Mus musculus: one gene and its partner. The protein of the gene in region 1 purifies or fractionates together with the protein of each later gene. This does not show direct contact. Links are inferred from orthologs where the notes say so. Each region holds a gene or a part of one and is shown on either strand. Other genes may lie near its edges.

Region 1 (4,168 bases):
GGAGACAGGCACTGCTCTGCTCGCTAGAGCAGAAACAACTGAAAGCTGTTGGCTTCTCCTTAGTAACACACACAGAATGCACTCAGTAGTGTGTGTCACACTACTGAGTAGCCTGTGCAGATCCCACCGGTACCACCTACAGCAAGAGGGCCCTTTGTGTTTCAGAAGGGAAATGAGGCCTGGTGAGGAAGGTCAGACAGAGGACAGGGGCTTTCTGCCTGCTCAGGGCAGTTGCAGTGAGTCCAGCTGTGAGTTCCAGTGCGCCCCATGAGCAAGCACCCTGAGCTTTATAGGTCCTGGGCCCCACCCCGAGTCCTCCTCTGGAGCCAGCTGGCCCAGCAGTGCCCCACCAGCACTGAGATGGAACTGAAAACAGCCCTCCTTTAAAGCAACACCTGTGACAGCCCTACATCATGGCCTATCTGAAGATCTCTGGCTCGGGGCCTGTGCCCAGCAAGGAAGGGGATATATGGAGACCTGACACAGCAGGGGCCAGCTCTTTGGCACTGCAGCCTGGCAGGTTGACAATGGCTGAGGCAGCTTCATACACCACCATCTCATGCTTGTTACGCAGGCAGCTCTCGATGAAGTCAAACAGCGGGCTGTCACGGCTACCAAAGAACAAAGCAACAAGAAGTTGGGGACAGTCCAGCAGTGCAGAAGGCATCATCTAGCTGGCAAGAGACCAGCGTCCTCACCTGCCGTCTTCTTCCTCTAGTTGCTTGCTGGCCACTCGGATCATCATGCAGTAGGCAAAGGGGGACTTGAGGCCGTGCCGGGTGAACTTACTGATCATCTTACTCACGGCCAGTCGGTCATTCTTCCGCACATGGTACAGAAGTCCTAGGGCATGGTACTGAAGGACAGAGGCAGCATGGGCAACAGACACAGAAGCCCTGGGAAGGGCACTGTGTGTCTCTAGCTCCATCCTTCTTGTTTAAGCACAGCACTCATGTCCACACAGAGGGGCTGGAACAACTCCCAAGCACTCCCCGTAACCAACTCCAGTGTCGTGCCCAACACACTATCACATACATGATGTTCTCACTTGCACCAGAGTTCTGGACCCTGCAGGTATCCTGACCATGTGAGAGAAGACACCAGAATAGAAAGAGCTGCAGCACACAGCTAGGGCAAGATATGAGCATAGTCCTGTGGGACACAGAACACAAACCCTTCCAACACCTAGAGGACTGGCCTGCTTGTCCCTACTTATTTGTCCCACTGTGGTCAAGCTGGCTTTGGAGGTCTAGAAGCCCAGGGACACCACTTTTAGAAATGTAAGTTACCAAGGTCACTTCCCATTCATTCTGTCCATTCTTAGTCAAGTGGCATGTGAGGGCCAAGGTATGGCAGGTGTGTGTACTTTCCACGTAGTCAGTGCTTCTGACCCTTAGAGGTGTACACTAGAGCATCATTACTGACCCCAAAGACATGATCCACACAGAGTGAGGAGAACAACAATCACTGAGGGAAAGGGACAAGCCTCCTTCCCATCCCTCATTGTGTATGTCTTCTCATTTAACCCTTGCTCTTCCAACGTTCCAGAGAAACTGACGCTCAGAGAGAGGCATACCAGGTTTAGGTTACAGAGGAAAGTTTCTCAGATGGAAACCCCATGTCACTAACAGAACCAGCTCAGCAAAGGTTTGGACTGTGGTGGCCATCGGCCTACCTAGGCCAGGTGGGTTGTAACAGCCTGTATTCCAAAACATTCCCATCTATCGTTCAATAGACTTGGTTCTATCAGCAGCATCCAGTGAGAAATCCTTCCTAAACACCCATGTGCTGCCCTGGCTGCTTCTCTCCATGTCCCCATCTCCCACACCCAGTGACAAAAGAATAAGAGCCTGTCCTGGCCAGAGGCCACCAGAACTTGTGGAGGTTGGACAATGACAGTGTGCCCCTGTTTGTTTTCAGTGTCCCTCTCACCTGGACCATGATGTTGTCACTGGACGCCGCCTCCTGGGCCTCGTTCACCCAGCGCTTGACCACATCGAAGCTGCATTTCAGCAGGTGCTGCGGGCAGTGGGACTTGTTAAAGGGTCAAAAGGAAAGGTGCCCTTCTTGTCATACTCCTGTCATCTCTCATATGCAGCCAGGCCCTCCTCACTATCCTGAGCCCAAGCCCATGAATGGACAGACAGACAGCTGTCAACCCTCACTCTTCCCGCCTGGCAGATTTCCTGTCTGATGCCAGTCCTGACAACCTACCATGTAAGGGGTGGGTCAAAGCCACTCACCCCAGCTCTTCCCAATGAACCCAGAGTGTCTGATTCCCCTCTGACAACGGCCTCAGACATTTTATTCTACCTTCAACCCACCCTTGCAGGCCCCAGTCACAGCTATGTACCAGGGAAGACACGAGGGCGGAGCTGGAGACACTGGGAACCTTGTCCACAATTGCTTGTTTCATGTAGCGTTCAACAGCCTGCAGCATGGTGCTCTGTGGTGGGAGAACGCGGGCTCAGACGTAGAAGCAACGGGGTGCAGAGCAAAGCAACCATTTCAGAAGCTCCTACTGAGTCAGTCCCTCCCACCCGGCTCCTCTACTTGATTCAGACAGCTGCAGACAGCCGAGAGTATGCTCGAGAGCTTGGGAAGCAGGTAGAGATGGAAGGACTCACGTCAGTGATCTGGCAGAGGGCACGGACAGCAGGACCGCGGTAATTATCCTCTTTCCCAGTCATGTCTTTTGTCAGGCTGCCGGGGAAAGGAGGCACTGTTGACATGCGGGGGTCATAGGCCATCCTTCTTCTCTAGTCCACACCACCACACCAGTGATGTGATTACCACACCAGTCTGCTAGCTACTGCTCCCTTCTGTTCTCACCCCTCCAAGCCAAACAACAGCTCCAGGGAGTTTCACGGAATTCAAGACAGACTACATGCTTGCAATCCCAGCACTCAGGGACAAAGGCAGGAGGATCGCCATCAGCTCAAGGATTCATAAGCAGCAAACAGAGCAGTGTCTCAGTGAGATGCTTTCCTCTGCAGGCCTCTCACCTGCCACTGCTCAGCCTGGACCTTTCTCCTTCCCAATCTAGCTCATGCTGGAGATCTTCTCTGATCCAAAGTCAAGCTGTTGTCTGAAGGAACTCTGGCCAGCCTGAGCATGGTGAGCATGGCTCTGGCAGCCTTGGCCCTTCTCCCCCATCCCTTCTGCCTTGTGAAAAGCCACTAGATCACATTTCTAAAGCTATCTGCCAGGGATCATTCCTTGTTAGCCACATCCTCCTACTGAGGCTGACTACATAGGTCCAGTAATCAAAAGCCAGCTTTGGCTCACCTAATTAACATGTCCAATTACAATTAAATACCTCCTCCTAACACTTTCCCCCCTTTAACTTTATTACTATTTGCCTATTGGCCATGTCTGTCTCCTCTCTATCCAGGACGCCACTCCAGGACAACCATCCCTGCCCCTTCTCCCTTGTTCCTTCCCCTTCTCCCTCATCTTCTGTCTGTCTCTTATTCCCTTTCCTCTGTCCTTCTGGAGCAAATAAATCTCCTTTATGCTAAGAATTTGGTCTTCCGGGTCCTTCTGTTCTGTTTTCATAGTCTTTTACAGTTCCATAAACCATGTTAGAGCCCCACTGCCTGATTATTTGCTGGTAAATCCTAAGGCTACAGAGACTGTGAGTTATATAACAGTTTCCTCCGGGACTGAAGCATTCCATCCTGCCGGACAGCACCTCAAACTCTCTGTAGCTGGACTGACAGACGGGTTTATGCCTCCTGATGTGGATGCTAAGAAATCAGCCAGAGATCTTAACCCCTGAGCTATCTTTCCAGCCCCAGGAAATATCAATGCCCCTGACTCTGGCTGTATGGTCCCTCTCCTCAGATAGCAATGTCAAGAAGAAATAGAAGAACTGGGTAAGAGGCAGGGATGTTGTGTGGTTTTGTTTTATTTCATTTTTTGGAGACATCTTGCTATGTAGCCCAGGCAGGTTCAAACTGGCAGCCATCCTCCTGTTTCTCCCAAATGCTGGGAGAACAAGTGTGCAGCACCAGGTCCAGCTGTGACTCTCAGTTCTCCAGGACACGGAGTATATATTCGTGACGTCTGTCCCTAAATTACTCAGCCTAGCGCAGAAACCAGTACTGGCTAATAGACTTGCTCATTAACTTCCTGCACCCTGTTTTTCTTTTCCTTAGCACTATCT
Region 2 (4,168 bases), on another chromosome or scaffold:
TTTAACTGTTTCCTATCAACTTTACAGTGCTCGCTCTTCCTCTGTGCTCGGTTCTGACTCTGACTTATATGCTGGGGTAAAATGTTTTTCAAAGATCTCTTCAGGCCACTGCAAAGCTGAAGGAAGACACAGGAAACCACCACAGCCATAATTATAGAGTAGACAGACCTAAAAATGGTGGCATTCCAAAAATAGTGTAGGAAAATAAATCTCAACAAACAAAGTCCACCCGTCAGCAGTGCCCAAGTTCTACCACTGTTCAAGGTAGCTATTTATTGTTCTGAAAGAACAACTGACTTTTGGAGACAGTCACCCTATTATTTTACTTTTTTCAAATTAGGGTCTTTTGTATAACATAGGCTTGAAATCAGAACTCTCCTGCCTCTCAAGGGCTGGAACTATAGGTGTGCTGGCTAATCCTATTAATGCGAATATTGGCATTGTGGTTTGAATAAAAAAAAAAAAGGCCCCGTAAGCCCATAGGGAGTGGCAGTATTATGAGGTGTGGCCTCATTGGAGTAGATGTGGCCTTTTTGGAGGAAGTGTGTCACTGGGGGGGTGGACTTTTGAGGTTTCAGGAGCTAAAGCCAGGCCATGTGGCTCACTGTTCCTGCTGCCTGATGATCTGAATGTAGAACTCTTAGCTATCTCTCCGGCACCATGTCTGCTTGCTTGCCACCATACTTCCTGCCATGACAATAATGTACTAAACCTCTGAACCTGTAAGCCAGCCTCAATTAAATGCTTTCCTTTATAGGGGGCTGGAGAGATGGCTTAGAGGTTAAGAGCACCACCATCTGCTCTTCAGAGGTCCCGAGTTCAATACCCATTAGTCATGTGGTGGCTCACAACCAACTATATTGAGATCTGGTGCCCTCTTCTAGCCTGAAAGCATAATGAAGACAGAATGCTGTATACATAATTTTTTTAAAAAATGCCTTCTTTCTTTTTTTTTTAAGCTGTCATGGTATCTCTCCAGAGTAATAAGACAATGGTAATATAGCATATTTTAAAAAGCAGAAATAAGGTCAGGTGGTGGTGGAGCACACCCTTAATCCTGGCATTTGGGAGGTAGAAACAAGTGGATCTCTATGAGTTCTAGGCCAACCTGGTCTACAAAGTGAGTTCCAGGACAGCCAAGGCTACACAGAGAAACCCTGTCTCGAAAAACCAAAGAGAGAGAGAGAGAGAGAGAGAGAGAGAGAGAGAGAGAGAGAGAGAGAGAGAAAGAGAGAAAAACCCAGAAATAAGCATGACTAAAATTAGACTTGGCCAAGATAAATCCCTCAGTAATCAAAGGAAACAAAACTAGAAATTAAGTATTATTTTGTTGTATATAAAATTATTTTGTGGGGCTGGTGAGATGGCTCAGTGGGTAAGAGCACCCGACTGCTCTTCCGAAGGTCCAGAGTTCAAATCCCAGCAACCACATGGTGGCTCACAACCATCCGTAACAAGATCTGACTCCCTCTTCTGTTGTGTCTGAAGACAGCTACAGTGTACTTACATATAATAATAAATAAATCTTTTAAAACAAAAATTATTTTGTTACAATAAAAGTTGAGGCATATAACAATACGAATACTCTGTGGCTCATAATTAAACCCTGTATTGCCTAAGGCAGGGCTGAGGATGAGGGTAAAAGCTGAAATAGTAACAGTGCACACTCTACTGGAGACACATGATATTCCCAGAGGACCTTGAGAAAATGCCAGTGAACTACACAAGACATCATTGGAAGGAAAATTTTAAAGCGCATGCGTGTATGACAGGGTCTTACTCCATAGCCTAGGCTGACGTGGAACTCAAGCTCAGAGGATCCTTCTGCTTTGGTCATCCAAGTGCTGCGATTAGTGTGTAAGCCACCACACCCAGGTTGACATACGTGTTTCTCTTGCCCGTGCTGACAGTTTCCCAGGTGTATACATGTCAAAACTTACTGCACTGCATGCTTCCTGTCAATCATAACTTAAAGCTTCTAGAAAACTTAATAAAACTGATGTAGGCATACTGTATCTAAAACACACTCCTCCCTTCAGAGAAAGAGAAGGGAAAGCACAGGCTGGCAGACTAAGCTTCTCTGAAATGTGCAAAAGAAGTGTGACTGGGAACAGCCTCATCCTCCTGGCCTTGGGAAGACTACAGAGTGAGTGAGTGAGTGAGGCCTAACTCAAAAAAGCAACTCTAGCACTACAATTCATTTGTCTTGGTTTCAAAGCACAGTCCACCCCCCTTCAAAATGTACAGCTCAAAAAAGAAAAAAAAAAAAAAGTAAAGCTCACTTCAACATGGTGTGGGAGTCTTTAACCATCACATTAAGAGACAGAGGAAGGTGGGTCTCGGAATTCAGACCAGCCAGGGTTACATAGTGAGACCGTTTCAAAAAAATTCATTCTAACCAAACCCAACAAACAAGTCAAAGCACACATCTCCGTGCATTGACAACTGCACACTGTCTACAAGATCACAGGACCCCCGGGCTGGTGAGATGGCTCAGCGGGTAAGAGCACCCGACTGCTCTTCTGAAGGTCCTAAGTTCAAGTCCCAGCAACCACATGGTGGCTCACAACCATCCTTAAGGAGATCTGACTGGTGTGTCTGAAGACAGCTGCAGTGTACTTACATATAATAAATAAATAAATATTAAAAAAAAAATCACAGGACCCTTTCACCACCTGCCCCTTTCCCATAAGTACTTTACTCTCTACCTCTGGATTTCTATTCAAAAAGGATACCCTTTTCTAGAAAGCCGCGTGTTTCTACCTTCTTTTTTACATTAGTCATGATCCCCACCCCACCTCCTTTCTCCCTCAAAACAGGGTCACACAGAGCCCAGGATCAAAGTTCTGATCCTCTTGTCTCTACCTTCCAAGTGCTAGAATTATAGGCCTATGCCACCATACCAGGCTTCACAACTGGTTTTTTAGTCAACTAATTATTTTTGTTTTCCAAAACTGGGTTTGTGTAGCCCTGGAACTTGCTCTGTAGACCAAGCTGCCTCTGCTTGACTCAAGAAAGCCTCTGCTTCCAGAGTGATGCACAACTGGTATTTATGAAAAAGGAGTATCAGTTATGCCTAGTGCTTCAGACCTATAATCCTAGCTACTCTTGATATTAAAAGGCAGTCTGGCCTTATTGTGAAACTGTCTCAAAACAGGTACAAAGAGGACTGGGAACATAGCTCAGTGGTAGAGCTCTTGCTGTGTTTAAGCCTCTAGGTTTAATCAGTATTACTTCAGGGGGAAGAAAATAAGCCAACATTTCAGAATGGATATACGGTGAGGTACTGCCTCAAAAATTCATCTCTAAGCCCCAGGAACCAGCTCTACAAATTAACCCAAGATAAGGATTATTAAGAGACTTTCACTTACGGGAGTGGGATAGTGATGACCACATCATTGAGCTCTAAATTATCTTCCTGTAGTTCGTACTCTATGTTGACATCACAGCCATTTCCACTTTCCGAAGGCCAGCAATTAACTGAGAAGAAAAACAAGGCCATCACAATTCAGCTTTAGAAAAAGAGTAGAACTATTTCTTGGCCTTTGGGCTAAGATCAAGAGTATGGAAGAATAGAAATACAGCTGACCGCCGCCAGGCAGTGGTGGAGCACGCCTTTAATTATAGTGCTTGGGAGGCAGAGGCAGGCAGATTTCTGAGTTTAAGGCCAGTCTGGTCTACAGAGTGAGTTCCAGGACAGAGAAACCTTGTCTTGAAAAACCAAACAAAAAAAAAAAAAAAAAAAAGAAGAAGAAGAAGAAGAAGAAGAAGAAGAAGAAGAAGAAGAAGAAGAAGAAGAAGAAGAAAAGTACAGCTGACCAACAAATCTATAGCATCCTACATAAAACTACACACTGGTGGCTCAAAACCACTGTACTTCCAGCTCCAGGGACCTGATGACTTCTTCTGGCCTTCACAGGCACCTATTAATAGGTGGCATACATTCATTCAAACACACATATACTTTTAAAAAATTAAAACGATTAATTCAAATATACAAAGTAATAGCATCAATTCCACTTTGCCAAAAAGAACTTGCTATGGTAATGAAGGTAAGAGAATACCCATCACAGCTTGGTGTGGTGGCGCACGCCTTTAATCCCAGCACTCGGGAGGCAGAGGCAGGAGGATTTCTGAGTTCGAGGCCAGCCTGGTCTACAAAATGAGT

Evidence for each region.
Region 2: the proteins of Copg1 (region 1) and Arcn1 purify together in Homo sapiens (affinity purification with mass spectrometry; 6 studies listed by BioGRID and IntAct, counting the BioPlex papers as one, with this or other methods). This does not show direct contact. The link is inferred for Mus musculus from reciprocal best matches to the Homo sapiens genes COPG1 and ARCN1.

The regions. Positions count from the first base shown.
Region 1 is NC_000072.6:87,890,484-87,894,651, reverse strand, and holds part of Copg1 (coatomer subunit gamma-1), read right to left. Parts: exon of another isoform or gene 3,893-4,168; intron 2,704-3,892; coding exon 2,628-2,703; intron 2,447-2,627; coding exon 2,354-2,446; intron 2,020-2,353; coding exon 1,933-2,019; intron 857-1,932; coding exon 699-856; intron 612-698; coding exon 478-611; intron 1-477. UniProt on the Homo sapiens protein: The coatomer is a cytosolic protein complex that binds to dilysine motifs and reversibly associates with Golgi non-clathrin-coated vesicles, which further mediate biosynthetic protein transport from the ER, via the Golgi up to the trans Golgi network.
Region 2 is NC_000075.6:44,746,954-44,751,121, forward strand, and holds part of Arcn1 (coatomer subunit delta), read right to left. Parts: intron 3,481-4,168; coding exon 3,372-3,480; intron 1-3,371. UniProt on the Homo sapiens protein: Component of the coatomer, a cytosolic protein complex that binds to dilysine motifs and reversibly associates with Golgi non-clathrin-coated vesicles, which further mediate biosynthetic protein transport from the ER, via the Golgi up to the trans Golgi network.